Oreochromis niloticus: one gene and its partners. The main gene of each other region encodes a partner of the protein of the gene in region 3 in a complex. Links are inferred from orthologs where the notes say so. Each region holds a gene or a part of one and is shown on either strand. Other genes may lie near its edges.

The links.
Region 1: the proteins of ras-related protein Rab-11A (region 3) and myo5b are in contact, whole or in part, in a crystal structure (PDB 4LX0), measured with the Homo sapiens proteins. The link is inferred for Oreochromis niloticus from reciprocal best matches to the Homo sapiens genes RAB11A and MYO5B. Residues at the interface, in NP_004654.1 of Homo sapiens: Leu11, Lys13, Arg33, Glu35, Ile44, Gly45, Val46, Glu47, Phe48, Ala49, Thr50, Gln63, Trp65, Glu71, Arg72, Tyr73, Arg74, Ala75, Ile76, Thr77, Ala79, Tyr80, Arg82, Gly83; in NP_001073936.1 of Homo sapiens: Ile1627, Gln1628, Gly1629, Leu1630, Trp1706, Met1710, Arg1713, Tyr1714, Ser1717, Gln1718, Glu1721, Arg1724, Gln1745, Leu1747, Gln1748, Leu1749, Lys1750, Lys1751, Glu1755, Ala1759, Leu1763, Tyr1779, Glu1786.
Region 2: the proteins of ras-related protein Rab-11A (region 3) and rab3ip are in contact, whole or in part, in a crystal structure (PDB 4UJ5), measured with the Homo sapiens proteins. The link is inferred for Oreochromis niloticus from reciprocal best matches to the Homo sapiens genes RAB11A and RAB3IP. Residues at the interface, in NP_004654.1 of Homo sapiens: Phe36, Leu38, Glu39, Asp127, Leu128, Arg129, His130, Leu131, Arg132, Ala133, Pro135, Thr136, Leu156; in NP_783322.1 of Homo sapiens: Asn367, Thr368, Leu369, Ser370, Ile371, Glu372, Pro373, Asp412, Arg424, Thr428, Cys431, Asn432, Thr435, Tyr439, Leu444, Val445, Lys446, Gln447, Gln448.
Region 4: the proteins of ras-related protein Rab-11A (region 3) and rab11fip2 are in contact, whole or in part, in a crystal structure (PDB 2GZD), measured with the Homo sapiens proteins. The link is inferred for Oreochromis niloticus from reciprocal best matches to the Homo sapiens genes RAB11A and RAB11FIP2. Residues at the interface, in NP_004654.1 of Homo sapiens: Arg33, Ile44, Gly45, Val46, Glu47, Phe48, Ala49, Thr50, Lys61, Trp65, Arg72, Arg74, Ala75, Ile76, Ala79, Tyr80, Arg82; in NP_055719.1 of Homo sapiens: Glu478, Ile481, Asp482, Asn483, Leu485, Val486, Met489, Glu490, Pro493, Ser494, Leu496, Arg497, Val498.

The regions. Positions count from the first base shown.
Region 1 is NC_031972.2:36,569,768-36,577,079, reverse strand, and holds the start of myo5b (unconventional myosin-Vb), read left to right. Parts: upstream 1-4,299; 5' UTR 4,300-4,691; coding exon 4,692-4,718; intron 4,719-7,312. UniProt on the Homo sapiens protein: May be involved in vesicular trafficking via its association with the CART complex. The CART complex is necessary for efficient transferrin receptor recycling but not for EGFR degradation.
Region 2 is NC_031981.2:19,555,660-19,562,561, reverse strand, and holds the start of rab3ip (rab-3A-interacting protein), read left to right. Parts: upstream 1-3,897; 5' UTR 3,898-4,049; exon of another isoform or gene 4,050-4,148; intron 4,149-4,600; exon of another isoform or gene 4,601-4,726; intron 4,727-4,830; exon of another isoform or gene 4,831-5,068; intron 5,069-6,902. UniProt on the Homo sapiens protein: Guanine nucleotide exchange factor (GEF) which may activate RAB8A and RAB8B. Promotes the exchange of GDP to GTP, converting inactive GDP-bound Rab proteins into their active GTP-bound form.
Region 3 is NC_031965.2:5,551,856-5,559,650, forward strand, and holds the start of ras-related protein Rab-11A, read left to right. Parts: upstream 1-4,777; 5' UTR 4,778-4,926; coding exon 4,927-4,966; intron 4,967-7,795. UniProt on the Homo sapiens protein: The small GTPases Rab are key regulators of intracellular membrane trafficking, from the formation of transport vesicles to their fusion with membranes.
Region 4 is NC_031978.2:25,621,628-25,629,271, forward strand, and holds the start of rab11fip2 (rab11 family-interacting protein 2), read left to right. Parts: upstream 1-4,631; 5' UTR 4,632-4,824; intron 4,825-5,540; 5' UTR 5,541-5,764; coding exon 5,765-6,117; intron 6,118-7,644. UniProt on the Homo sapiens protein: A Rab11 effector binding preferentially phosphatidylinositol 3,4,5-trisphosphate (PtdInsP3) and phosphatidic acid (PA) and acting in the regulation of the transport of vesicles from the endosomal recycling compartment (ERC) to the plasma membrane.

The DNA of each region.
Region 1 (7,312 bases), on a different chromosome or scaffold from region 3:
GTTAATGAAGTTATTCAATCATCGTGTTAAGGAAATATCACACTAACACACTCTGACACACTCTGAGGTTTTCATAGGTAAACTTGTGCAAGCACAAATAAACTCTGCATCATTTCATCATTACATCATAGCTGGAGGTGGGATGGACAGAATAACATGAACACCTCAGCATGACCACAGTGTTTTGTTTTTGTTTTTTTAAGAATGCTGAGAAATAGCAAAACAATCACCTGAAGGTCAAAATGACTTAAAAAAAAACGGTCTCTGCAGACCTGAAATCACCTGAATAACATATTCACTTAATATTTTCATTTATTTCAGTTCATCTTTATTTCACCTGATCGTGTTTGTAAACCAAACATAAACTGTATATCAAAGATGGACACAGCATCTAGGTCAGTAAAGTGAAGTCTTGCACTCCTCCTACTATGCAGGAAAAAGAAGTCAAAAAGGGAGTCTGACTGAATAGAAGTCTTTGACAAAATGAGTCTACTGCTCACCTGATCTCTGACCTCTGTGAATTTTTCTTGAAACTCCACCCTTTCCTCCAAATATGGTCGCTTCTGGTCCCACAGAAAGTAACATGGCAGCTGCCAAATTCCTAAGAAGTAAGCTTTAAACACTTGTTGCTGTCCCTCAGCACACCTCTGAAAACTGGTGAAAGAAATCAGCTCATCCAAATCTCTGAATCATGCACAGCTACCCTTGTAGAGTCAAAGAATAAAAAAAATGCTTACATGTTTATGCTGTCCATTTTCTTGTGTAACTAACTGTGTCTCTATTGCAAAGACTGACCACAGGACTGAACGGTGATTTGTGCAGCACCAATAAAGATTATTTTGAACTGTTAATCGTGCACAGCTCCTCTGTTCCCAAGCATGAAACAAAGAGCTGGAAAACAGTGATATGAATGCTTGTGCCACATTATATTTCACTGATGTCAGAGGAGCACAGGTTCAGGAACATTAATGAAAATCACAGGTCTGTCAGCCTCTGGTGAGATTTCTTCTTCCGTGTGCAGCCTGTTGAAGTTCTCTGTTGTTCTTTTTCACGCCTGTGTTTCACAGCCTTCACGGCTGTGGCAGCGTGATAAAGCCTGTTGTGGGTGGACCGGCGTCTTGTCAGATTCATGTGCAGGTAAACACCTCATACCAGCAGAAGGAGTGGTTTGGGAGTGGACTCATTAGCTGAGTAAGAATAATAGCTGTGCTCAGACAGGTCTGAGATGAGCTGCTGCTTCCCACAATCACTGTCACAGGATCTGATGCAGCTTCCTTCAGCACATGAGGATCTATTTATCAGCCGGAGAGGATGAGTGGAGATTATTACCCCTACTCCAAGGTAAAGGACCCGTTATCGCCTCTGTACTTGCTGTAAGAGCTCATATCTGTGGTTAATGTTCACACAAAATATTCTCTATAACGTTCAGCCTGTCGGCATTACACAACATCTCTGATAACAGACACACTTTACTGATGTGTTATCAGAAGGAAAAGTCTGACTTACATGAGAACATTTTATGTAAAACCAGCTTTATACTTTCAAATTTTATGTCTGTGAGGAGCTATTACAGGAAATAAAAAATGTGATGGGTGGTGGAGCATGAAGGTCAAATATCTACTTTTTCTGGCTCGATAGAATTTTTAGTTTGACTGTGTTTGTGAGAGATTTATCAACATGTCTGAAGAGAAAAGGATAAATTAGTTAGTTGGAAGGATTCTTAGAGGCCTGGATGAGACACAAAGAAAGCAGCCAAAAATCCTACATTTCCCATAGTGCAGCTGGATGGAGTCTTACTGCACTGAAGCAAAACATTAACAGTGAAAGAGACCCAAAATCTTGAAGCAGAGCGTAGTGCTCTTTTAGTGATGAAGTATTAATATCATCTAAGCAAAAGCACTGTATTTTTAATAATACGACTGGAGCTTGTTTACTTTCTATGCTGCTGTGTAGCTTCATCTGTAATAACAAGGCATAATTTCTCTCCAGATTCGTATTTTTAGATTTATGTCTACAAAGTCTCATGCACAGACTAGTTTTAGGCACCCTTTGGTTTTGAATCCTGCTGTGTTAGTTTTTTGTTTCTGGAGTGACCACATTTAGACGAGGTGGCGGAGTGCAAACTGACCACCCAATGCTAGCTAGCATGTTAGCACCAAGTTACATTCCTAGAATTTTACTAAAACTGGAGCTCAGACTTCTCTGCCGATCTGTGACAATAGTTAAACTCACAGCAACCATGATATTGGTCAGATAATTGCCTCCAGCAGCACGAACGCGGCAGCTACAGCCACCTCTCACCACCATAATAATGCAAACTGTAATAATTAGATCAAACCCAACAATCTTCACAAAGTCAACAAGGGAGAAATAGGTTATAGTAACAAAACAGTTTCCTGTATCAGCCTGCAAACATGTTATTTCTGCAGTAAAGCCGAACATTTTAACATGGGAGACTATGGGGACTGACTCAGCGTTGGAGTCTCAAGTGGTCATTAGAGGAACTGCAGCTGTGCAGGCTGACACTTCATCTTGCCACAGACTAGGAAATGCCTCCTGGCAGTTATTTAAAAGACTGAGTCAACAGTAATAAATTCTACGTCAGTGGTCACCAAGTCTGAGGACTTTATCCCAAAATAACATTTAATAGTGTTTTGCTTTTGTTTTTTTTTGTTTTTTAACGGCTGTCCTTGCAGGCTAACTGACATGCACAGGTTACATCGGATTAAGGTGTAACATGTGACATGTTTGCTGGTTTCAGCCTACAGTGTAACTCCTACTGTAAAATAAATGGATTTATAAAGTACATGATTTGCATTTAAAAATAGAAAGAAACATAAAAATTCTTAAGTACAAACCAGGTGTTAACACAGGATTTCTTTACATCCCACCTCATTATTGCAGCTTTGATTGGTCTGGCCTCTTTCTGGTTCCACTGCATTCAGTTTTTGTGGTCAATTTAAACACAAAGAGTTGAAGTGGAACAAAGCTTAAGGTGTGGAAAGAATGACACGACACGTTTGGATGAATGCTGTGAGGTGAGGAGGCGTGGACGAGCGTTAAATGATTAATTCTCACAGTGTGCAGCCTGTTTGCTTTCATGTCTGTTTGTCTTCTCTTTGTGACTGATTGTTTGACATTCTAGTTGTCACTCCGAGCCTTCAAGAAAACATAATCAACAAACAAAAGAAAGATTAAAAATAGAAAAATGTAAGTTCCTCTGAGGGTAGTTCTCTAATCAACCAAATGATGGTGCTATTGTGACAGCACCACAATTCCAATATTTTGCAATGCTTACTTAGACAGCTAATTTTGGTTATTTTTACTTATATTTTTAACGTTTTTTAAATATATTTGACTAATTGTGGTTTATATAGTTTTATTTATTATTGCTTAATAAATAAACCCTTGCACTTAGTGGTAAAAGTGGTACAAGGTCAGCAGTTTGTATTTATAATATTGACCTTTATAAACAGATTTGGTTGTAACTAGATAAAACATTAAAGAGTTACAGCAGTTTGACCGTTAAAGTGGCCACACCCACAAAGGTGTGTCAGCCAATCACAGAAAAGAAGTTTTAGGTTTTTAGAGGTCATTGATTATAATATATACAAAGTTTGGTGAAGAGTGGAAGAATATTGGAGAGCAGGCAGACAAAAGTATGTTTTTGTTTTATGTATGTATGTTACCAATGAGCTTCTCATATGTTGGAGGATTCCCACTGTGGGGTCTTCCTGCTCCATATATGGCGCTCTGAATTACTGTGAGAAAGACTGAAAGTCATATATGTTGTTTTATTACAGTTCATACACATGATTGACGCTGGATTTGCAATAAGTGAAATAAAATTCGGACTTTCAGAGTTTAGAGAAGCAGCTAGGAGTGATTATTTTAGCGGTTTAGCTCTGTTCACTTAGACCCACACAAATAATTCTATATACTGGAATAAACAGGCAGTGGAATTGCTGCCGTTTTCCACTGGATCCACAAACACAATCAGTCTTGTATTAATTAGTTCAGAATATTTTGCAAGGCTTCCTAATTTCTGAACAGTGGTGAGCTATCTGTACCAGATCTGACTGTGTGAGGCAGTGAATTTTGGAGAGGCTGACATAGTGTTGATGCTTTTACAGGGTTGGTATTCACAGAAATTCAAATAAAATGTTAACTTGGGAATTTTTTTAAAAAAAGGACCCCTCAGGTTTCTCTCAGGACCCTCTGTGGGGCGCCACGCCTCACGTTGAAGCACCCCGCGTCGTGTGTGTGTGTGGTTGAAACCTGGCTTGGAGCCAGGGATCAGCCAATCAGCGGGCAGTGTGGGGAAAACACGGCTGTCAGGAAGAACCGGCCTCCTCCCTCCACCTGCGGGTCGCTTCAGGCTTTTCGTTTCCGTTTTTCTGGATTTCGGGATCCTTCTTCCGGTTCTAACACTTTTCATCGGCTCTGAGTTTACCCTAAAGTATCCGAGGGTTCGTTTTTACCGGAGGAAACACCAGCGGGAGCGTGCTCCTTCGGACCGACACTACACCGAACAAAGTGACCGAAACTCGGCCAGACACCTGCTGCGGGGCATGCGCACTGGAAGGTCTCTGCTGGTTTAGGACCGAACCGGAGCGCAGAGGGACTCTAATGGATCATTAATGGGCACAAGAGGAGCTTGTTAGTGTAGTTTGATCCACCGGGAAGGCACAATGTCCGTGAACGAGCTGTACACGAAGGTGAGTTTACTTTTCACCTGGAAAACAGACGCGCACCTGCTGGAGCAGCTCCAGCCCGAACCCCGTCACTTGCGTCGCCTTTAGCCGCTCAGGTCTCACCTGCACTAAACTCTGAGCATGGTTTATGTTACCTGACGGTGTTTATTCAGATTTTAAAGAGATGAGTCACCTGTTGGGACTTGTGTTGGAACATTAGTACATGGCGCTGCGAGTGGAGAGTGAAGTAACGTTGGAGCTATAAATGTTGACGCTACAGAGGTGGGGTAGGGGGATATTTGGGCTGAATGTAAGAGAGGAACAGGTAAAGCCTGGATAACGCCAAGTAAAGAGACTTTACCGAAGAAATTCCACAGAATGCATACTTTACTGTAAAATGGCTAATTTTTGAATGGAGTCTTGCGTGCGGCTGAGCGGACAGGTGCAGGAGGCGCAGATTGAGTTAAAAGGGACCCGTGTTGGATTTCAGAGTGGTTCACAGGACTCAGGCTGTCTGTGAGGCCGTGCTTGACGGTTTCTGTGATCAGGGAATTATCACTGGTTGAATAAACCTTCAGAGCGAGACCGGAAGCTGGATTTCTGCTGGAAGTTTGAACCTGTTATCAGCCTGGAAAAGCAGCATTATTACACTCACTGATGATTCATCACTCAGATCACTGACAGCCCATCATCTGCTCACCTGCACATCCGTGATTAATGATTAAAGCTCATTTTCTATAATAAGCAACAAAAGAAAATCAGAGATGAAGTCATTGTCTTATCTAATGTCTTCATCCTTCAGCCACACGCACATGCACACAGTCAGATCATTAAATTTGTTGTGTTTGTCTTCCAGCTTAATATTCTTCAGCATCATAAACCGACAGGCAGAAATGGGAGAGAGAATAAAAACATAAAACAGCTGATGAGTAACAGGAAGAAAATGCTCAGACAAAAACAAAACAAAATAAAAAAAGAATAAAAGCAGAGAGACTCTAATGCATTGTGGGGATTGTAGGATTCAGCAGTGTTGTGGGTTCAGTCAGGCTGGGCTCTGTCCATCCTCTGATGGTTGGATTTCTTTGATTCGAGGATTCGACTTTGTTGTGTTCTACTCTTTAATCTGAGCTTCGTTCCCGGTCTAATCTGTGACTCTTTATTAACTCAGCAGGAACCTGTTTGAATGTTTGTGAACTTGTTAACCTCGCCTCAGCTTGAGTGAAACCTCTGCTCAATCAGGCTGTCTGAAATCTGAGATGCAAAGACTAAATGAGCTTCCTCCTGCAGCAGAACTCACTGTAGTCCCACTGTAGTCCTTCAGTCTGTACAGTCTCATGAACCACTGTAATCAGGCAGAAAAGTGTCTTCTTACGTCAGCATTTACAGCAGGGGGAAAAGTTGTGAGTTTAATTTTGTGCTTTTTTTCTGAGATCTTCTTGTGAGAGATGAGAATTAAAACTTGTCAGGTTGTTTTGTTTTGTGATCTTGGGCTCTGCTTCATTCTCTGAAAACTTTGAGTGCTGCTGTTTGAGTGCTGGAGTTCAGTGAGTCTTCTTCCTCATGCTGTTATGAGAAGAAAGTGACTCAGAAGCCGACTTTAATCTGTTGATGCTTCATTTTATTACATGCTGCTGATAATGATGGCCTTGACTCTGACACCAGATGTATTTTTAACTGCCGTCATTTTGTCGTAGAGCTCTTCTGCACCAAACTCACTTTGACTTTTGGACCTTTCAGTTTGAACTGAAGCAAAATTTAATGTGTGGACTGTGCAGAAGTGACAGCAGGATCTCTGACAGGTTAGGTTAGGTTAGACTCTGTAGACTAAAGTTAGCCTACAGCTTCAGATTGTGTTGATGGGATGTTTCCACAGCTTATGTTTATAAAGCTGTAGCTTCTTACTAAAATCACATTTTAAAGTTTCCGTGTTGTTTTATGTTGTTTTGCTTCACTGAACCGCATTTCTTTCATCCTTTTTAATTTAAGTGACATCATAAACTCTGGCTGAGACAGTTGTTGTCACAGGTTTTGGTCTCAGGATGAAAACCTCGTAGTAAAGGTGTCATAATTGGAAAAAAGGGGGAAATGAGCTGCAGCAGCACCTGTAGACAGGACGCTGGATCAGCTACGTTTTAAAAAGCTAACTGTAAATAATGACGGCAGGCTGTAGGTATGTTCAGAGGACAGAAGAGAGGTGCACACCTGTCATCGCACCTGTCCATATGTTTAACCTGTGAGCGCAGAGTCTGTGTTCCTGCAGCAGTAACAGTGAAACCTGTGAAGCTGGACCGTACGTGCTGCTGATACAGCTGCTGCTCCTCTACACTGAAAGGAGGCAGTTGAAGTGGCTCAATCATCTGACCAGGACGCCTCCTGTTCACCGTGTTATGTTTTATCTATCAGGGAGGACACCCCAGGACAGACCAGGACAGATTATGTCTCCCTGCTGTCTTAGAAAGGGTGGAGGAGGTGGGTGGGCTTCTCTGCTTGGATCCCTGCCCCCGAGATTAGGGGCAGCGGCTTCTTCCAGTCTTAAAAATACCGATCACATCGTAAAAATTCATTGCAATGAAAAAAATATAAACAGAAACAATCAAACCATCTCTGGAATGGAACAA
Region 2 (6,902 bases), on a different chromosome or scaffold from region 3:
AAGAAAGTCTGGAGGTTTTAAAATTACTAGCAACTTCATAGGTGCTGCTGCTGCTTTATAATCAATAAAAAATATCTTTCAGCCACCTGTTTTTGTTATTACATGCTTTATTATTCAAGATTTCTACATCAAGTTTGTAGTAGATTCACATTTGGCCCAATAAAAAAGCAATAAAATGTAAGATTTTATTACTGCAAAAAAAAACCCCAACTATATGCACAAATATATTTTTCTTTAAGTAAAAGTATATTAAGGTGAACAGATTATGTTTGCGCTTGTAAATTTAATTGCAAAACCTTCAGTTTACAGGAGATTTTTTTTTCAATAGTTGGCAGCAGTTGCAGAAAGCAGCAGTTTTGTTGGTCATAAAGGTCATAAAGAGCTGGATTAATCTTTAACAGCGTTAAAAACCTGTCGGATAAATGTACAGTGTGCAGAGTTTGCCTCAGGAATGTAACGGAGCACAAGGGTAAATTTAGTCCACAGCACCTGATGGACCAGTTAACCGAGAGCAGGCGACTGCAGAACAGGATTGCAGAGCCGAAACCAACGAGCTCCTTGGCCAACACATTCCTGCCTGATGTTGCGCTCATGACAAGAACAAAGAGAAATGCTGCTTGATGAGTTTGAAAAGACAGAAATGAGGAAGTGACTGGAGAGCCAAGAAAAACCTAAGTATAGACGAGGCGGTCACAGTGAATGAGCCTGGGTCTGAAACCAGCCTGGATTCACGTGGGTCCTCAGTCACAGTTCAGCAGGGCGTTAGGTTTAGTACAATGAGCACAACACTTTGTTAGCTGTCACACAGCTAAACTGGCTCTGCAGGTGTGGAGATCAATTATGAACCAACTTATCTCCAAGTTGTGTAAAGAAAACCCTCAAATCAACATAACTCAGATTGAAAAATGCTCAATCTTGAGGCACAGGCTCATTCTGAGCATCATTGTTGGGTTAAATGCCAAAAACCTTCCATAAAAAAAATTAAAAACTGAACACCACAATGATACTTCTGTTTAAGTCTTGACTACTTGAACCCAGACTGTTCTCTTTCCACCACTGTTAAGCTATTATTGTTATTATTTTATAAAGATTTCTACTTTTTTTCTTTTTTAAATTAGATAAAATATGTATCCTTCTAATTCCTGCTAATCTAGAATAATTTCACGGTCACAATTAGGGAGCAGCTGGTTTGCTCTGGCTCAGGACCTGTAGGTAATAAATGCTGAGTCAATGATGAAACACACAGAGGAGTGTTACTACACAGTTATGAATGAAACCAAGCCCAGGCAGTTACACGCACTCATTCCTCTGTTATCAATATTAATATTTCTCCCGAGTCCATTATTTTTTAAGCATCTTTAGATTTTCTTTGGTTTATTTATATCCCTTCATGATTATTGATAAACTGATGTAAACGACTCTATTTTTAATGGTTTTTTTCACTGAAATGCTGTAAATGATCTTTGCTTTCAACATTTGAAATACAGCACATTTTTAATTACTCATGAACTTAACTTTTCCTTTAAACGATAACGAATAATACATACTTTTATGCACACATTCCTGCTCATGGAAATGATTATTAACAGTGGATCATTTCGGTTTTCACGAGATGGTCACAAACAGACAAATCAGTCTTTACATGTGTCTCTCATTCTTATAGGAAAGTCTGTCCATATGTTCTGAAGTGTTTTCAGTGTACTGCATTTTAACTTTAAACATCTATCAGACCATCACTGAAAAATAAATCTGCCTTAGAAAACTTCCTTTTCCATTTTACACCTGGACAAAAAAAACCAAACAAACAAGCAAAAACAGAAAAAAACTCTAAACAAAAACAAAACAAAATGCGGCAGAATGCAAGAAAGTAAAACTTACCCATAAAATCCTCGCACGAATCATCCTGAAGTTCAAACCAGAAGCTGGACAGATGATTTTCCTCCTTCACAGAGAAGGCAGCAACATCAGCCTCTAATCTGGCTGGAAACGATAGTCCGAGCTCCGTGTGCGTAATGACACCACCCGGCTCGTTACGCATCACTTAAAAACACGGGGAAACTCCACCCCCAGAAGGGTGTGTGTGTGGTTTATTCAGGTGTGTGTGACACAGTGGAAATATATTACACACACACACACACACACACACACACACACACCTCAGAGTATCATAGGGATGGGTTCAGAAGCAGTAGGACATGTGAGATTTGTTTTGTTTTGTTTTGACATGTAATTGAACTCATCACATTCCTATCATTCTTTTGGGACTGCATAAAAAAAAAATCAACAATAGAAGAACAATAGAAACAGTTTAAATCAAATATAGATCAGCCAGCTCCCCGAATCTGCATCTTTATAATCTTTATATATCTATATCATATCTCCATATTACACAGTTACAGAGTGACATATGTGTGTCTCTGTTTTACAATAAAGACTCCAAATTGTGTGTAAAATACTTAAATTTAGCTCCACAGTCATAAAACGTAATATGACGTCAGTGACGGGACTCGCTGTGCTGCTCACTGAGTAACTGTAACTTACAGATTACTCGGGTTTTGAGCACCCTGATTTTTTCCCCCCAACTTTATTAAGACTGGCTGACATCAACGCAGAATGACAGAGCGTTAAAATCGTTCAAATACACTCAGTTATACAAGTATATTAAAATGTTTAAAAAGGTGAGGCTTTTTTTATTCTTGTTGTCCATTATTGAGTAAATATTTTGCTTTATATAAAAAAGTAACTGGAGAACTTGAATTCATGAACCACTGTTTCCTATTGGTTCCACAAAAAGTATAATTTAAATTGATATCACCTTCAAGTCTCTGATGGTAGTGGTTAGTTGGATAGAAGCTATGAAGCATTTTAAAAGAAACGTCCTTCATTGGTCAGAAAGAGTTCTAGTGGTAAAAACCAGACTTTGTGCCACCATTTTCCACAAATCTGGACCAGTATGTTTGAGAGGAGGGCGAACATGTGCAGCCCCGAAGAAACAGGATCTAGTAGAGAACAGCTCCAGAGACCCGAGGAAGCACTCTGATGGTGCGGGTTCGCGTCTTCGTGTGTTCAAAGAGCGCACGCACAACAAAACATAGCGCGTCTTTAAACTTGGAAAAACGGGGCTTGTTTGCCCCCTGGTGGCTTTTAATTCTTCTTCACTGTTTATCTTCATCCTCACACACAGCCTCTCTGACTGGAATGAAGTGAACATTTAAAGATTAAAACCACTGGAGACCTTAATCTCAAGGAATATACCACCTGTTTGTTCATTTTTTCCCTCATACTCAGGGACCATCAGGGAATACTATTCCCATTCCGAGCTACAAATTATTATTATTATTATTATTATTATTATTATTATTATTATTAGTCGTAGTAGTAGTAGTAGTAGTAGTAGTAGTGGTAGAAGTAAACTTTCAATTTTGTTTATTACAACTTAAACTTAATAAACTTGGATTTTGTCACTGAATATTATCTCGTCCCTACTATATATTTGAATCACTTAAAAAAATAATTACTGTGTGTGTTTATTTTATTTAATTATTAATTTTGTGTTTTCACAACTTTAACATCGTAAATTTAACATTTAACAACAATTTAACTATCATAATAGTTATTCCCCTCACTGAGCGATATTTTTATTTTATGATATATTTCATATATTGTACCTTTAGTTGTATAAATCTTAATTTTTATTCTCTCCGAACATTATCTCTCTGTCCAAGCACAATATTTTATTTATTTAATTATTATTATAATTATTTTATTTTACAACTTTTAGTTCATAAGTCCAGACTTTTTGAGCTTCATATTAATTTGAATTGTTTTTTCTTAGTCTTTATTTGTTTCTTCTTTCACGCGCTCTCTTTTTTTTCTTTACAATTAAATTAAATGTAATGTAATTTTATTTGTTAATGGGCCTAATGCCGAGTAATGAATTCCTGCTCTCTGCACTGTGACGAACTGCTTGGCGGCTCTGTGGTTTCCCAGCGGACCGTGAACGTACCTCCCGTCAGTTGGAGCTCCGCTCTGCGTCAACAGCCGCTCCGGTGAGTGTCTCTCCGTTTGTTTGTCTGTTTTTCGGGCTGTTTCGGCACGTTACCGTTAGGAAGACTGACCGACTGGGCTGCTGTGCACGCGGAGGTCCGGTGAGTCCACCTTTAAGGCCTCGTTACAGTTTTTATTTTAATCCGTGAGTCGCTGAGTTGGGCGAACTTGCTCAGCCCCACTAGCTTGCGTGCTACATACAAAAAGCATCGATGCGCCCATTATCGGACAGCGTTTCTCCTCTCTCTCAGCATCACTCCGTCACTCTCTCAGTTTTCTGTGTTTTAAAGCGAATCCGCAGTTTCATAAATCCGTGCATTCATCTGTTTGATGTAATCAATGAAATTAGCTAGCCGTGGCCAGGCTTAGAGCAGTGGCCGATAATGGAAGCAGGGGTTCCCTCTGCAAGCCATTCCCTGATGTTTACTGAATGAGAAGGACGGATGTGTTTGGGTTTTGTTTTGTTTTTTTGTTTGTGTTTTTTTTTTTAAATAGTTCTCTTCTTGTCATGTGCTTCATTTCCGTGTTTTAACACACCTGTGCCCACACTCACCCTACTAATGTCAAGTAATTGGCCAGCTAACGTTAGCTGCTCAGCTAATCCTTAGCCCGATGTAGCAGCGAAACCCGAAGCTCCGCGCAGAGACGCCGCTATCATGCATCTTTCAGACAGCGTCAGGTGACAGCCCTTAGCTCTCTAACTTCAGCCCCCCGCAGGTGCTCACGTATTAATGCATTAGCATAATAGGTAACGTCACTTAACGTGCTATCCGCGGCTAATCTATTGCTAGCTGTCCACAAGACACCACCTGAGAGCAGGAGTAGCTCACCTGGAGGAATGACCTCCAGCGTACAGGTGACACTGTAAGCAGCCCATCTGGGTGCAGGGAGAGCTGGAGGTCGGGTAAATGAGCAGAGACGCTGTTGCAGGTGTAAACTCAGGTGATATTTGTGCACATGCTGCAGTTTTTGTGCTGAGCTGGTTTCTCTGAAGTACTACAGTGTGTCAGGACCACTGAAGGTAAGAAGAGGAAACCCCAGGGCTCAAAAAAAATTAAAACCTGGCAGATTTATGAGAAAAAAAACAGTACAAATATAGACGACAACACCTGGCACATTTATGGCAAGAAATGAGAAAATTTATCAGGAAAACCTGGCAAAATTTCAAATACAAATTGTACATTTACACATTTTATGAGAATTAACCGGCAAGTTTTCAAGTGAAAATTTTTAAATGTACAAGAAAACAAATGTCAAGTTTGTGGGCAAAATAGGAAAATGTACGAGATAAACTGGCCAAAAAAACCTTAAGTATATCTGCAATTAAAAGAAAAATCTATTTAGAAAAACTACCAAATTCACACAGAAAAACTTAAATGATTAAAAAAATCCAAATTTGCAGCTTAATTAAATTTATAAGCAAAACCCTGCAAATTCACAAAAAAATTCCATTTTTGAAAATAAAAATATCACATTTCCAGTTTTAGAAAAAAAGGCAAATTCTTGAAGAAAAGCTGGAAATGATTTATTTTTTAAATTGCCAAGTAATTTTTAAAAAAATGTAGAAAAATGTGTGAATAATTACCAATAAATGAATGCAAACTGACCTCCCTTTGCACTTTACATATCGAGGAGTAAGTATAAGAAATCTACAGGCTTAATCCTATTATTGAACAGACCCAAAAGGATTTTAACGTCTGGCTTGTTCTGCTCAGTCTTTAAATCCTGATAATTCAGTTGATACATCTGATTATGGGAACAACCATTACCTGTACACATCTGTAAGCACACAGAAGTTTCATAGGCTTCTGGATCAAACAGGCTCTGTCAGGCCTGGTCGTCGTATGTTTGGTGAAGCAGGTATTCCTTCAATGGCTGTCTGTGCGAGACGCTCTTATTTTTTTGGAGATGTATTAAAGGACGGCGTTCACCTGTTCTTCTTTCTGTTAAATGATAAATGCAGGTCAGTGCCACGGAGCCCCGGCACCTTTATTTTGACCCATTTGTCACCGCAAACTGTTGATGGTGAGCTTTTCATTGTTGTGGTCAGTCGAGCTGTTTGGGATTCGCGTAAACACCGCCACTGAGACACAGGATGAGCCTTCATCGGGCGGCCCGAGTAACCCGGTCTTTGCACGACGTGTCGGGTTACCACGCCAAGCTCTCTAGGACTGGTCTCTATGGCGACAGGCAGGCAGGGAAGAGGAGTCAGGTTGTTTTTAATGAAGGTGGAGTTTCACCTGTGTGTGTTCATGTCCATCACCATGTGTCATACATCCTGGATGAGTTTGTGCTGATGTGTTTTTCTTGCGGCACAGTGTCAGACATGTGAGCTGTCTTTCTTTCTTTTATATTAATATTTTATGGGATGAATAATTAAACCAAAATACCTTAAATTATCTAAAATCACCATCTTTTGCAGTATTTGATTGTTTCAACTCTCTTTGTTGGTTGGAAGTTGTGATTGGTTGGTGGAATTTGGCTCTTTAACCTCTGACAGATATATCCTAATCTGACATTACTTCCTGATTTCTGTGCCCCGTGTTTGAAACCACAAACCTCCTCAACAAACCACACAAGAGGAAACAGGAGATTCATTTATATCAGGTATCATCAGCAGTTTTTTGTAGTCTGATGTCTGATTGGCCTTGAATGCAACGTTAATGCCTGCTGTCAGCTGCATTCCAGCATCAGTGAAACTCGGACCAAACAATGACACGACTCAACGTTAACGGAGTCCGAGACACGGCATCACAGCTGAGGATCATTTCCCAGCATGCCTCACTGCGGCGGGAACAAAACCCCTAATCAGGCCTAATGACGGGCGCAGAAGAAGAGATGACATGATGATACTG
Region 3 (7,795 bases):
GTTGACAAGAATCTCAGCACTGCTGCCATGGATTCAAATGGGCAAAAGGTTTGAAATCATTACGTTAGGTCTTGATCTTAGCCCTGTTTTAACTCACATCATCAGATCCTTTGAATCTTCATCCTCAAATCAAACCTGATCTCTTAAACCAAACTCAGGGCTGTAACACACAAAAACGTTTATAAATATTCTTATTTACTCACAATTTATTACAATGAGTTATTGTCAGCAGATTAGACAAGTGGTCTCCTTTGTCTCCGACCATTATTGTGAAGCACTTTGTGGTTTTTATCCTGTGTAGAGTGCTATTTAAATCAATAAAGTAAAGTAAAGACCAACTGACAATGAGGCTGCTGGTTATGGGCTAACCACATCACTAGTCACATCATGTCAGGATTAATTTTCTAGGTGTCGGAGTCAAACAATGTTAGATCAAAGTTTTATGAATGCCAGCTAACAGCAACAAAACGGCAGTGCTTACTGACAGAAAGATTCAGGATATCCTGAGCAACTCAATTCAGTATTGTGATCGGATAGAAGTGAGCTCTACTGATAGATCCACCCATCTTGGACAGATTTCTCAGTTTTACAGCCTTCTCCAGAGTAAATAGACATATTGACATAGTAAACTTGGCTATCTGAGTTTAAATAACAAATATGTGAAAACAGTATGCCACTTCCTAACCAATGAAGAGACAACATTTTTCAAAAGTGTATCCGCTCCAAGAAAGGAGCCAAGATGCTGAAACAAACTGATACGTACTCGGCCCTGGATCATTAAGGGCAACTGTGCTGCAGTACGAGATGAGACAACCATACCTAAGTACACCCAGTACTTTGAAGAGCTTAGAAATGCTCCTGTTGTTATTTTTCTACGTGTCCTTTGGCATCAGTGTCTTGACCCACTCACACCAGCAATAATAGGTTTAGGGAAAAGATTGTGGTTTTAGGTAAAGTAAACTGACAAACAGCAGGGTAAAAAGTGAAGCCAGTGCAAAATCAACAAAACTCCAAATCCTACAGTGGGTGATTTTAAAAAGAAGTTAGTTAGTCAGTAAAAAATAAATAATAAAGTGTGCTAACACAGGTAGCTATAGCTACTAGCTATCTGCAGGTCTCAATTCTTTAACTATCTTTAATTATTGTTTTTTATGTAAATGGTTTACAGGCACCATGATACTGAAAAATGCAGCCGATTAACACTCTGTCTTACATTCACTTGTTGGAATCACTGAACTGATCTCTTGGTCATTTTTTGTGCTGTCTGGAATTAGATTTATGCCAGTTACTAATTATTTAATTTGTAAGATGACCATTCATCTCATATATTACTGATAATATCCATATTTTCCATATTTTATTTGTTGTTTGTCATAACTTTGATTTTTCTCTTTCTCATCAGTTCAAAAAGTTGTGGCAGATGTGAGTTTTCTCTAACCTGCTTCAAGTGCTTGCTCATAGGTTAATGTTGGGTCTTTCACTGTGTAATATAAATTGCTTTTTGACAGTCATCACTGTAATATTGTGCTATATGAAGAAAATAAAACTGAATTGAATGGGTTTTTTCCACTGTAGTTATAAAAGTTCACATCTTTCTACAGTGGATCACTGAAACCTGTTTTTTGTTGATTATTATTTGTGTAGTTTGATTAAACTGTCAAATTCAAGTCTGTATCAAGTTCTCCTGTGGTGTTTAGAGAGGAGCGCCTTTCAAATGGTGTAGAGCACTAAAAAACTGCTCTCTAAAGTCTTGGCAGGGAGTCTGAGGACAAGTCCAAAAAGGGAAAAATGCTATTTGGCATTTTAAAGACGTCGCCATATCTGTTTTTGTCATGGTCATGCAGCATGCTTAGCGACCAACAAGCCACAGAGCTGAATAAGTAGCTCACATATTTACATGCTAATAGATGCATGGGGAGACTGTCTGTTCAGCATCTTCTTACCAAATGACACAATTACAGGCTTTGACTGGAAGATCCGACATGATAACCAAGAAGCAGTGTCATGGGCTGCTATATCTGATCACGGCAACCTGAACTCAACTGAGATGATATGGGATAAGTTGGAGAACATGTCATACGTGTTTTCTTGTTCTCTTTGCTTTCTTGTTAGTCAGATGTGAGGTTTCTCTAACCCACTGTTGAGTTGGAATACATGGCAAAGTATCTAACAACACCCTCACAAGTGGATCTCCTTCAAACTGCATGTTGATACATCCTGGGCACTATTCCAGGAACATCTGAGTTTGTTAACCCTGAGTTGAAAGAAACTCCTCGTTTTCTGTTTCAGAAAGAAAATTAACATAATCTCAGACTCTCAAGGTCCCTGAAGAGAAAAGGGTAATTAAATCCACTCAGAAATGAGCAGGAATATACAGGAATGACAACAGACGCTGGGCAACAACAACAACAACAAAAAGGCAGAGCTTAAATGTTTAGAACAGAATAGGGCTCTATTCTCATTGTACATGTACAACAAAATTGTGAGTGCTCCACACCAACTGTGCTAAAATAAAATATAAATAGGTGTCAGCAGGAATAAATAGCAAACAAGATAGATATATACAAAAATCAGAGGACAAAATAGTTGCAAAGTGCTTAAAGCAGTGCAAAGAGTTGAATGGAGTCCGTGTGTGAGTGTCCTGAGTGACGGATGTCATTCAGACCATGGCTCAGATCAGTGAGGTGGGTGGGCAGGGGTTGGGTGTGGGGGGGATAGTGTTTGTTGACTGTCCGAATAGCCCAGGAGAAGAAGCTGTTTGTGCTTCTGGAGGTGTGGGACCTGATTGACCAACCAGAGGGCAGCAGGTCAAATATGTGGTGGGTGGGGTGCAAGGAGTCACCTGTGATTGCTTCCAGGAACGCAGGGGCAGCCAATGATTTGTTGGGGCATTGTTAGCTACCCTATGCGCAGCATTGCTGTTCTCAGTAGCGTGTACCAAACACCAAGGCAGCAGGAGAACACAATCTTCACTGAGGAGCAGTAGAAGGCAGAAAGCAGCTTCTAGGTTATTCTTTCTCAAGACACGGAGGAAGTACAGCCAGTGCTGGGCCTTCTTTACGTTGGTGTTGTGGGTCCAGGGGGGTGGACGGAGATGTTGGTTGGGTGGCTTGGGGTACAGTCATAGATGTATAGGGCACACAGTAGGCGCTGAGAGCGTAGTCCTGTGAGGAACTCTTTGATCGAGGAGCAGGTGGCAGGGGGGATGTGGAGGTGGTCCAATTTGGATTCAGGATGTCTGAGATTATAGTGCTGAATTCTGAGCTGTAGTCCATGAAGAGCATCCTTATGTAGCTCTTCCTGTTCTCAAGATGGGTCAGCGCTCTACAGATGGGTCAAGGGATGAGGGTAGACAGTCCCTGATGTGGTGAGACACTATCTGCTCGACACTATCCGCTCGAAGCACTTCATGACTACAGACGGTAGGGCTATCGGTCTGTAGTCATTGAGCCTGTGTATACCAGACATTTTGGGGATGAGAACGGTAGTGGAGGCCTTCAGACAGGTGGGAACAGTGGCATGAGTCAGGGAGAGGTTGAAGAGCCTGGTGAGGATCCCCCCAGTTGGTCAGCACATTTGTAGTTGGTGAGGGCTTGGATGCCTCTCCACACCTGGTGGAGGTTGTTATCAGTTAGGAAGCCCTCTATCCTCCTCCTGTAAACCTCCTTGGCCTGTTTGATGCCCTTCCTCATGTTGACTGTAGCAGTGCTGTACAGGTAACTGTCCCCTCAGCCTGAATTACAAGTTCTACACAATGGACTCAAGTGAAATGGACGCAGGAGGGTGACAAGATACACCTAAAACATAGTTAAAAATGAGACAAGGAAGCAAAACTAAATGCAAAACAGAGGAGACATCTAGCTCTACAAACTAAAATGGGCAGTAACAAATGTGGAACAGAAATAAAGACACTGGGAAAGCTAGACTAACCAAAACAGAAAGGATTACTTAATCGATATAAATACTCCATGTAAATATGATTTAAAAATATTAATTAAAAACACTCAATACAAATGCAGTTAAATCAGCACAACATTTATTTTCAAATACAAAAAAAATACCAAAAAATATGTCAGCTGGACACTTTTCTGCTGAATAATAAACAAGCATATTTCCATTACTTTAGCTTGTTATTTAAACATTTTTTAAATATGATAAAATTTAAATTTTATATATTTTTTTAATTTCAAACTTTAATCTTCATCTTCACTGACCACAGTAAGCACACCATTTTTGATGGAGGGTTCATGTCTCCTGGCATTAAACAGAAGGTTGGGGGAGGGGCATTTATAAATTGGTGTTGATAGATTTTAAATATGTAAAATGTTAAATGCAATCACCCATGACCATGCCGGATAGCTAGTTAGCGAGCACATTTACTATTAGCTAAAGTGGTTTTTGCTGCTGCCCCTGAAGCGCAGAATTCATGAATTTGGGACTTCTGAGGGTGCAGTTGAGCACTTGTATTCACTGATTTGAGAGGTTGTAACCACAGAGGTGTAGTTGTAAGCAGTTAAAAAAGTAAATAAATAAATAAATGAGTAAAAGTTGAATTACAAACATTAATTTACACATTTATTTATATTTTCTCTGTAACCATACATTTAAAACGCAAGTGAAAATACAAGTTCAAATTCTTTCTACACATTATCTCTTTTTATTTGACAAGCTCTCGCATTTTGCATCGTATTTACTTCCATAAATCGGCCCTAACGGAAAAGTTGATAGTTGGGAAGTATATTTTTTGACCACTAGATGTCTGATGTCAGAATTATGCCGGTTTTCTGCGGCAGCGAAGGAGAAGAAGAAAATACGGAAGTACGGCTCCCAAACACATTCCCGTTGGAAGAGTAAAATACTGCAGATTGCCGTATTTGCTTTGAAACGAAGCATATCTTGGACTAAATATTCAGTCTCAATAAGACGATGGGCACTAGAGACGATGAATACGATTATTTATTCAAAGGTAAAGATGTGAATTTCTCGTTAGTGTCGTAGCTTTAGCCGATAAGCTAAACAGGCCAGCTGGTCAGCTGTCAGGCTAACTAAGCCATCGTCAACCTTTGTGCTGTGGTTGATTTTCACCGAGCTTTCAGGAAATTGTAGGGAAGTTGATATAAGGGTGTATACCTCTAAACGGCCTTCACTTGAGGGTTGGCGTTAAAGTGCTATTTTCTTTACGTACGGTGTATTTAAGTGGGGCGTCTGAAAAGAAAAGAACACTAGCTATTAGCTTCTGTTAGCTTGTTGATAGTGGGCGCGGACACGCCTAGCGTTAACCGTTATCACGTTATCTTAGGTCCAGCTTGACAAGCTACAGAAACTTGTGTGAGGATTGGAAAGAATGCGTTAAGAGCTGCTTCATGAACACGTGACCACAATTTTAAACAATGACCCAAATCATTCTTTTCGCCATTATATTATTTTTAAAGTATTTTTATTACTGTGAATGTATAAACTTTGCTTAAAAAGTCAGGAAGATTGTGTCTGCTTTACTATTTTTGTGTCATAACAATGCTTCTTGGTAATAAGTCTTGTACTGTTGGAATGCCTTTCTATTTCTCCTTAAATGGTATCGCATGTTTGGGTTGCACAAATGAAGAACTATGCCAATGTCAAACAACTATCTACTCTTGTTTTGAGCTTCTGGTACGCCGGGTATGGACAATCTGATGTCTGATTAGCAGGGCATGAACCTGATCAGTCAACATGTTTGACTAATCTGGATGAGATCCATGTCATAGGGCAACCTCAAGCTGGTGATGTGCAAGACTAAGTTTCAGCATTATTTTGAATGAGTCCTAGTGCCATCTCCAAATTGAAGGCCAGGTCCCATATGAGGGTGGATATCAGAGACAGGCTGTGAAGTGGGTGTCCCAACAAGACGACATCACAAACACACTGTCAGTGCAGTGCTCAGTCTTCTACAGATTTGCAATCAAAGTTTGGAGGACAATATTTCTTATGGTTTTGTACCCAGACAACCTGGAACAGACTGCACAAAGTGTGTCAGGAGGCCTGCTGTGACTGCCCTTCACTGTTAGGTTCATTTGTGTTAATAACGGGTGCAATTGAACCCTGAATGTGTACAGGAATGTTACGTTCAGCAACGAGTCCAGATTGTGCTTACTGCAGTTGGCTCATAGTGTCAAGTGTCAGAGTATGGAGAGGATGTGGAGAACCCTGTGCTGATTGATGCACCGATACGGTGAAAGCTTTTGGTGGAGGCAGTGTGACGGTGAAGAGCAGCATCTCTCAATGGAAAAAACAAAGCTTCTCATCACTGGAGGTAATCTCAGTGGAGCTAGATATCAAGATGAGTTTCTGTAACCAGTGGCAATCCATATCTCCACAGTCTGGGAACAATCTCTGTCCTCCAAGACGCTTAACCCACACAGAGTGGAGTTTATCAGAGATTAAATCCAGAATATAGGTGTGGAGAGCATGGAATGATCTGCCAGCAGTCCTGATGTCAACCCAGCTGAATGCTTGTAGCATCAGCATGAAGGGGGGTTGTCCTGCCAGAGTAACCAACACAACCACACTGGCTGCTTTGTAATAAATATTGGTTGAAGAATAGGATGCAGTCCCACAGCAGTGTGTGGCCAAGCATGAGGAGGAGATGAGGCTGTCGTGGCTGTGTTTGGTTCTTCCACATGCTACTGAAGTCCCTGTTAAATGAATAAATTGTGAAATTGCCGGTGTGTCTTGTTTCTTCACACTTCCCATCCAATCCAATAAATGACAAACGAGTCAGTAGCAGAATGTGTTTGGCATTGGAAGTTTTGGCAAGTTTTTATTGGTGTAACCCACATACTCACCTTTGCTACTTAACCCACAACTCTATTTTTCTTTCACCATCAGGCAGCGTTTAAGCGGAAATAAACAGGTTCTTTAATGGTTTAAGATTTATTGCCAGGCAACATTCTTCCAACAAAGAAATAATCAACCGAACACTAATTTCCTTACTTTCTGTGCTAAGTTATATATTTGTACCCACACTAGTTTCTGTGATAGGCAAACTGGACAGTTCTTTCTTTTTTTTGTTTTTAAGAGATTTAGTGGCTTTTTTGAACAACCAACAACCTATGAGACTTTCACATATGGCAAAATTCACTTTAAATATTTGGGATCCCAGCACTCTCCTCATTTTGGTCTCACACATTCCTTTTTTATAAAATTTGCCTTATTCTGTTGTGTGCTTTTGAGTCCCCAGTTGAAGCTGTCACAAAATTATTACCACGCTTTATGAGTTGTTTTTTCTGTATTCATTGCAGTATCAAAGTATGATACTTTGATATGATGACTACTGACAGATATACTACTAACATAGTTCAAGACAGACAGGCTTTCTCTGCCTTTGCTTGTTCAACAAAACCTCATTGAAGTTTTGAGGCGGGTGACCTCATGCCTTCCCCTCATTGAAGATGACGGGAATCACAGAGTTGATTATCAGCTTTCTGTTAGACCGGGCTTTCTGCTTCAGGATCTGTGCATGCTCACATAAAAATGGGTGTTTTGTAGGTTATATGATTCTTTTGGGTAGAAAAGGATCCCCGAGTTTGCTGCCTATGCTACTCAAAATATTATCAGATGATGATAAAATAGTGATTAAAAAGCTATGAAGAACATATAAAATACAACAGTAAAATGCATCATTTGTGCAAATAAGATGGATAATTCTAAAGAAAATAGCTAACTGTGTGATTTAACGCACAGAGTAGTAAAATAAACATATCAAGTTAACTTTAACACTGAGTGCACTCTCAGTGCTGTTGACTTCTAAGGTGACGGC
Region 4 (7,644 bases), on a different chromosome or scaffold from region 3:
CATTCAATTTATTTTATTAACTACTTATTGTGGAAAAGTAAAATTCCCTGTGATTTAATGGACATTAAAATGTGTTCAGAATTTGCAAACTGATGATCATTCACAAAAGTTAAAAGTACTGGTTTGGTACTGGCAACACTGGCGTTGTATTTACTTTGTATCAGGTCAATACCAATACCAATACCACAGCACTAGTGGAAGACACATTTTTAAAAGGTTTTATTATTTGTTGAGCTTAAAGATCTGTCATTACTTTTCTGTGTTAATAAATACACAATGTACACTCGTCAATATTTAGACAAGTGGAAAAAGGCGAGAAGCAGGGTACAGGGTCTGTGATAGACTGTGGCAGTCCAATTTAGAATTAACTGTTAACTGCTTTAGACTGTGGGAGGAAACCCACGTATGCACAGGCACATGTGAAGATTGCAGAACATGCAATCTTCACACAGCTGACCAGGAGATTTAACCCTTTACCAATGCGCTAAGCAAATGTATCAATAAGGTACATTATCATTGCTTTGAATTCAGAAAGGTGCTTGAGGATGAGACATGTAAAATCCCTCCAACTGGGAGTGCTGAAGGTTGCCTCCTGTTGGGCATTGGTGAAATATCTTTAAGAAGACACATCCAGGACATCAGATGCCAGAAGTGCACTCTGATACCAGAATTATCCCTGAGATCTCATTGTGTCACTATCTAGAGCTACTGAACATAGATGAGTCCTGGAATGTGTTGTAAGTCGGCTGTTAACATTTTCCCCATGACAGTCCTGGATGCCTGGACATGATCTCAAGCTCATACCGTGCCTAACTGTGCAATGAGACTCTCCTGCTACCAATGCTCTAATTTCTACACTAGGGATAACATAAATAATGGTGGCGTCAAAACAGTGTCTCCCAGTATACCACAGGTCTGGGCTTGGAAATGCTGACCCTTGTTTCAATCACAAACAACATTTGAGCAAAACTACTTCAACAGCAAAAATCTAAACTATAATCCACAAGTCAGCAAACTAGACACAAGACAGCCATAAACACAGCCGGGCACAGGGCAAGACTATAGTAGAGGCCCATGCCCTCTGGCACAACAATTCTTCTGTTTATACAAGCATCAAATAGCTCCAGGCAGCAGTCCAGCTTCCATAACACCTCTTTACATAAAAGACCTTGTTTTGGAAATGAAGAAAAATAATTCTACACAGCTCAATACATGGTAAACTTAATATATACTTGGTTTATAATAACTAGGTTTAGAATGTGATGACAAAGCCAAATGTTATCAAAAAGCTGATTAGAGCCGCAGCTTTAAAGTTACCTATTTCCTTCTACATGGTCCTGCTCTTTACTTCTGTGTAAAGCACAAGTCATGAGAGGATGATGCAATTTTTTTTTCTAGTGTTAGTTTCACTTACTTTTTCTAAGGTTATGAGGTAGAAATCAAGACCTTTAGGGAGTCACCGGGCTGACATGTGGCCCCAGCTTAGCGGCCCTTTTTAGCTCTGCTCGTCATGCTGCAGTCGCACATCTGCACCTATATATCAAAGCCATGCACAAAAACATTCCTGAGAGCAAAGCAGGGGTGATTTGTGTGCCTTTCTCCTTCTTTTTTGATTAAAATTCATCTGTGATCTGACTGTTCGCTCAGCTAAAAGCTATACCTTTTAAATCAGTCATCCGTCCAGAACTTTGACCTGCACCACATTAAGACCAGCACTGACATCACAACTGTTTCCCCTCTCCCCGCCGAGTCTCATGCCTCTTTCATATATTTTCTCTTGTCCTCGACAGATGGACAACCTTGCAGCCAGAGATTTTTTAAGTGTTTAATAAATGTAATACAACCTATATAGTGTTGAAGAAAGGGCCCTAAACCAGAACCATGTGCGGGAAGTGGATGGCGGCCGTTAGGGGCCACAGCTAATGTGGTTCAACATGTGGACCGGGCCATGCTAGAAGGTTCACTTACATGTTGGACAGTTTATGACCTTCAGCGCTGTTCCCTCAAAATGTAGACAGCGTCCTTACATTACTATTCTCTAGTTTATAGCGTGATATTTTGTTTTTAAATGCACCTCTCCACGAGAGGAGAGTAATAAAAGGATACAGGTGATGTTGGAATGCAGTGTCTTTCATGTTTTTATCTCACAGAGAAGAAGCACTGTGGTATTATGTTCATAAAGGGGGTAATATATGAAAATGTTTGACTTATTGTCAAATTAAGGGGAAGAGTGTCTTGACCCTGGTTGTTTATCTGCATGCCTCTGGTTGTTATTTCATTCAGCTCGGTCCTGACACTGCTAACCACAACAGACAGTGAAGTGCTCCTGAGAAGGAATGTGAGTAGTGATGCGACTGGATAAATCATAAACACTTGGAAGTTACCCAGCAGCTGTGCAGGGCAATTGCTCAAACTGAAGTATTATCAGATCTTGACCTGAGTTGTAAACAAAAATCAGCAGACTCCCAATGGTTTTTGCGGTTTTGTTTTTCTGTAACTTTGCCCCTGCTTAAAATCAAACAGTTACAAATCTAAGATGTGTTTCTTTGTGGGGTTTTTTTTTTTTTTGCTATTGTATTTTAACCCGTCACTGGGTCAGTCATTGAGAACTCATGCTCTGCAGTCACATTTTGCACAATCCCACTTCCATCAAATGTCTAATAGGAGTGTGTCACTTGGATAAAAGCTTCTGTCACAGCTAATGCAATTTTATATTCTCGCTGGGAGACTTACTGAGCTCTCGCTCCCTCAGTACAGCAGCCAACATACTGAAAGAGCCGTCACACCAAGGACACCATCTGTTTGACCCGCTCCCCCCTGGTAGAAACTTCGGGTCCATCATGTCACAGACGAACAGATTTAAGAACAGCTTCCACCCTCATGTGAGAACTGAACACTCCCAAACATTTAGTGACTGCACTTACATTCCTAAAAAACTGCACAGATGTGCCCATATCTCAACTGCTCGATGATCCAGCAGTGCAATATCTCAGCTGGCATTCATTGCATTGCATAATTATTTATATAATTATATTTATATCATTACTATCTGAAATTAGCTGATTTTTACATTGTGACTGGTGCATGTGGTGTGGATGCACTTACAGGTTTTGTGCTCCATTTCTGCTGATAGACTATAAAACAGGGTAGAGAAATAAAACAGACACTGTGTTCAGACAATAATCTTTGACTTTGTTAAATCAAGTGAACTGACTACTATATACTCAAGAGTCTTTAGATAAAATTTACATTTTGCAAATTACAACTGGCCTGCTAATTTCTAGAAATATCCACAATGGTCTACAACTAAATGGAGTGGGATTTCATTTGTATTATGGATATGTGTTTACACACGTCTAAACTAGTTACACAAACACATCAAAAAGTTTGATAAAGATGCATTATCCCCTCAAAAGGGTACTTATTAAGGTGTGTTCGGAAAATATACACAGGATGCTTTATAATATTACATTTATTATATTTTATATTTTGTAATTGTTTCTGAAAACTTAATATCCTAAATTACAGCAAAGGTTTTAAAGTCTCTAAAGCTATAAAATAAATCAAATTCAAATACGTTTTAAGATGAATACGTTAAAAAAATGGCACAAAGCAAGTGGAATACATATTGTTACTTTTTTAGCAGAGTGGATCATACCCGGCCTTACTGAAAAAAATCTTCCAGCTAAAGGAATAACTTGAAGAGGTTTGTAGAGAAAACAAACCTGAAGGTGCACATCAACCTCAATAAATGTAAATATTATATATGCTATATTTTAAAAAATATGTTTTATGTATAAATCCGTTTTAGGTGACACAAAAGCCTTTTTTCCAAGACTAAATGTGATATACAGGCTATGGCCAACATTTTGCCACTTCTAAATGCTTTAAAGCCACAGCTACAAAGAGACATTGTACTTTCATATTCACCTAATGGAACAGCTAATGTAAAACATGAGGGTGAGATCCACGAATGTATTAAATGCTATCTGACTCACATTTTTGTACAGCCTAATATTTCACTAAGCCTTAGCATTTCATTCAGAGATGTACTCTAGATAAGTGCAATAATCTCAGTTTGATGGATGGCCCAGCCGGAGCCTAGGGCCAGTGGTGTGTACATACTGCACTGGTTGCGGCAGAACGATAAAAACCCACACAGGCAGGTGTGTTTGGTTAAGATGCACTTGTCAAGTGGGGTGACAAGCATGTCTGTGTTCATTCAAGTGAACCCCTTATCGGTACCTCCATGTCCCACTCATGAGACAAAAGCACTTCCCATGTTTGTATGATTTACCTCTCAAGAAAATGCGCGAGCACACGCACGCTGTGCACACACATGCGCAACAATATCTCACAGAAAGTGTGTTTGCTAGAAATTTATACATATTTATATATCCTGTCATTGCTGCTTACCTGTACAGTACACCCACAACCCAGCACCAGTACCGAGTATGGAGAACATTCTTCGGTTATGCTGAATTTGTTTTTGTTTTTCAACTTTTTCTTCGTCTTTGGATATTTAAGCAGCTTTCATTGATTTTTTAAAAAAAAATATTCTTTCACCTAATTCCCTTAGAACGCGCGAGCGAGCGCTACCACCTTATTTTGACACCTCAACTTTCACCGGGGTGAGCCGGAAGTGATGTCAGACTAGGAAGTAAATCTCGCCACTGGCCGTCAGCAGTGAGCAGTAATGGACTGCAACAACAGCAAGTTCAGCGAAGATTAGCCGAAAGTGTCGCATGAGTGTGTTTGAGGGAAGAGTTTGTGCCGAGCTGAAGCGCTGAATGTCCGTGTGGTGTTGGTGAAAATGACACCGAGGTAAGAAGCTGTGTGCTTGTGTGTGATGCTCTCTGTGTGCTCACCAGCTAGCCGCATAATGCTAACGTTGTCCTCCAGTCTTAACTGAATTTACCCCTAACAAAGCTTCACGAAAAAGTGACAATTTAATATTGCCTCGCATCATTTAATTGTTGTAATCAGTTTAGTAATATTTACTTTTGACAAACCTGTGGAGAGACGCTCACTTAAAGGGACATTGCATCTTAATGTAACTTACATGGCTACTTACACCACTTCTTTCATGTATACCTGCATCAATGCGTCATCTAGAGTTATCTAGAGCCACAGCCCATGACTGCTTTACTTGAATATGTGCACAGCTTCTTAATCTCAGTCAAAACCTCTATTTTCAGTCTAAACTAATTTGAAAATGATACATGAAACGGTCGCTCTATATCCCACTGAGTGACTCACTAATTCAGTGACAATGACACCAAAATGTGTCACTGGATGAGATCATCAATATCTGCCTTGAACCTCCATCTTAGGGACATATATTTAAAGATATTGTGCAAATCATACAGTGCAAAATGTGATTTCTGCTTAGCCGTATTACTTCCAAAGTGGCTGCCATCAAATTATTAGCAGGCTGCCTGCTTTAATATCAGTTTTCTCTGTGTCTTCATAAGCCAGGCTTTCATTCTTGGCAAAAATAATGATGTTTTCCTGGTTCTTTCTGTTCTGTTTTCTTGCAGATGACTCAGCAGTGGCTTGGACATCTGTGATCTGACAGAAGATGAGACTTGCTCAGTTTGTCAAACTTATGGTCCACTGTAGAAAGTGCTGCTAAACGCTGATATCAGACTATAGTGAATCATGATTGCTGCTTCTTGCATGTCACACTCACTGAAAAAAACTGCTGCATAAATTATATTTGACTTTATTTTGAATGGATTTCAGTTAACAGTTGGTGCTTACAATGTCACTGGGCGAGCAGTCTCAAAAGTGGTTTCCAACCCATGTCCAAGCCACTGTTCTTCAAGCAACTGGTTTACAGGCCAAAGGCAAAAATGGCACCAATGATGCCTACACTATCATCCAGCTGGGCAAGGAGAAGTACTCAACATCAGTGGCGGAGAAGACCCTTAACCCTGTGTGGAGGGAAGAAGCCTCCTTTGAATTACCTGGCCTACTTTTGGAGGGCAACCCAGAAGTGTATGAACTCTGCCTCATAGTGATGCATCGCTCTCTGGTTGGGATGGACAAGTTTCTGGGTCAGAAGTGCATAAATCTTAATGAAATCTTCGATAACAAGGAGAGAAAGAAAACAGAGTAAGTAATAAAAGTGTATTAAATATCACAAAACATCACAAAGGTTCTTAGGGAAGTTTTTTGGGGACATAATCACTACTGCAGTGGGCTCTAGAAGTGATCCATTTATCCTCATTTTTGAAGAAGATTATGTTATAACCATGTGTTTTTGCTCTCTGATATATATATATATATATATATATATATATATATATAGACACACACACACACACACACTTCTTGGAAAATATAATTCCCTCAGATTTTTTGGGACAGAAATACTATTATTAGCAGTTTTTGCAGTCATTGCAAGGTCAATAGTTTCCCTTCAAGAGAAGACCTGGGCTGGTTTTAACACTAACACAAATCATGGGACATACAGCACTTTTTTTTAGATAGTATAGTTCTTAGACATTAGCATCACATGTACATTATTCAGGGTCTTTAGTCTGTAGTGTCTTGTTGGTATAGAGACAGACCTTTGAGAGGAAGTGGAAAATATTTCCACAGCCTTTCCAGTCATAAGTGGATTACACCATGAGCTAAGTCAGTTGTTATTTGTCACATTTGCCACAAGTATTACTGCCATATTAGACTTCACAAATGTGCTGTCTTTTGCATGTTATATTAGGCACTGTGGTCTCAATTAAGGTCATGACCCAACCCTGTTGCGCCACATGATTTAAGTACCATAGTGTTGGCCTTATTTTCTTTGTGCACTTGCTTTAGAAATACACTTTATTAGATACACAAGTTTTAATGTTAAGAGCAGAGTAAATGAAATGCTCTAACAGAAGCACTTCACTTTAAAACTATTTAGCACACCAGTGACACACTTTCATGCTCAGTTAGCAAGGACATGTTGGTTGTACTTTTTTTTTTTTTTTTTTTTTTTTTTTTTTTTTTCCATCTTCATGACACTGTATTGTTTGAGGCTTAGCAATGGATTGGCCTACGCTGCAGAGAGATTATTTTAGAGTAATTACTGACACCAGTTGACCTAACTGAAACTAGTGGAGCTGGACAAACATGTCTTGTTAGCCACTCCTATACTCCATTTTTTGTTTTTGTTTTTTCAAAGGTGTGAATGTAATATGGGCTCTCCTTCAGAGCCAAAGACGCCTGGGATTAAATCTTGGCTTGTTTCTGTACAGTTTAGTTTCCCTCGTGTTAAAATCTGGCCTCTATGCATTGTGCCTTTCTTGGTGCAAAATACATTCAAGTTTGGAAACAGATATTTATCTATGCCACTATATTGGTGGACAATAGTGGGCGTCTCTCTGAGTCATAATTGGGTGACTTGTTAAGGCTGCTTAGTTGCCTTCAAGTAAAGCCATGCCAGAATAAGGTTTGTCCTCTTTAAAGTTACTGAAAAAAGATTTGAGGAGAGAGATCGATGTATAGATGTACATTCAAATAAACTAACACAGTGTAAACCATCAGAGCTTGGAAAGACTCTGCTGTATTTGGCTAAACTTTGGTTGATGAGCCTTAAAAGTCCAACACACACACACACACATTTCTTAACCCTACATTAAGCAAACAGGA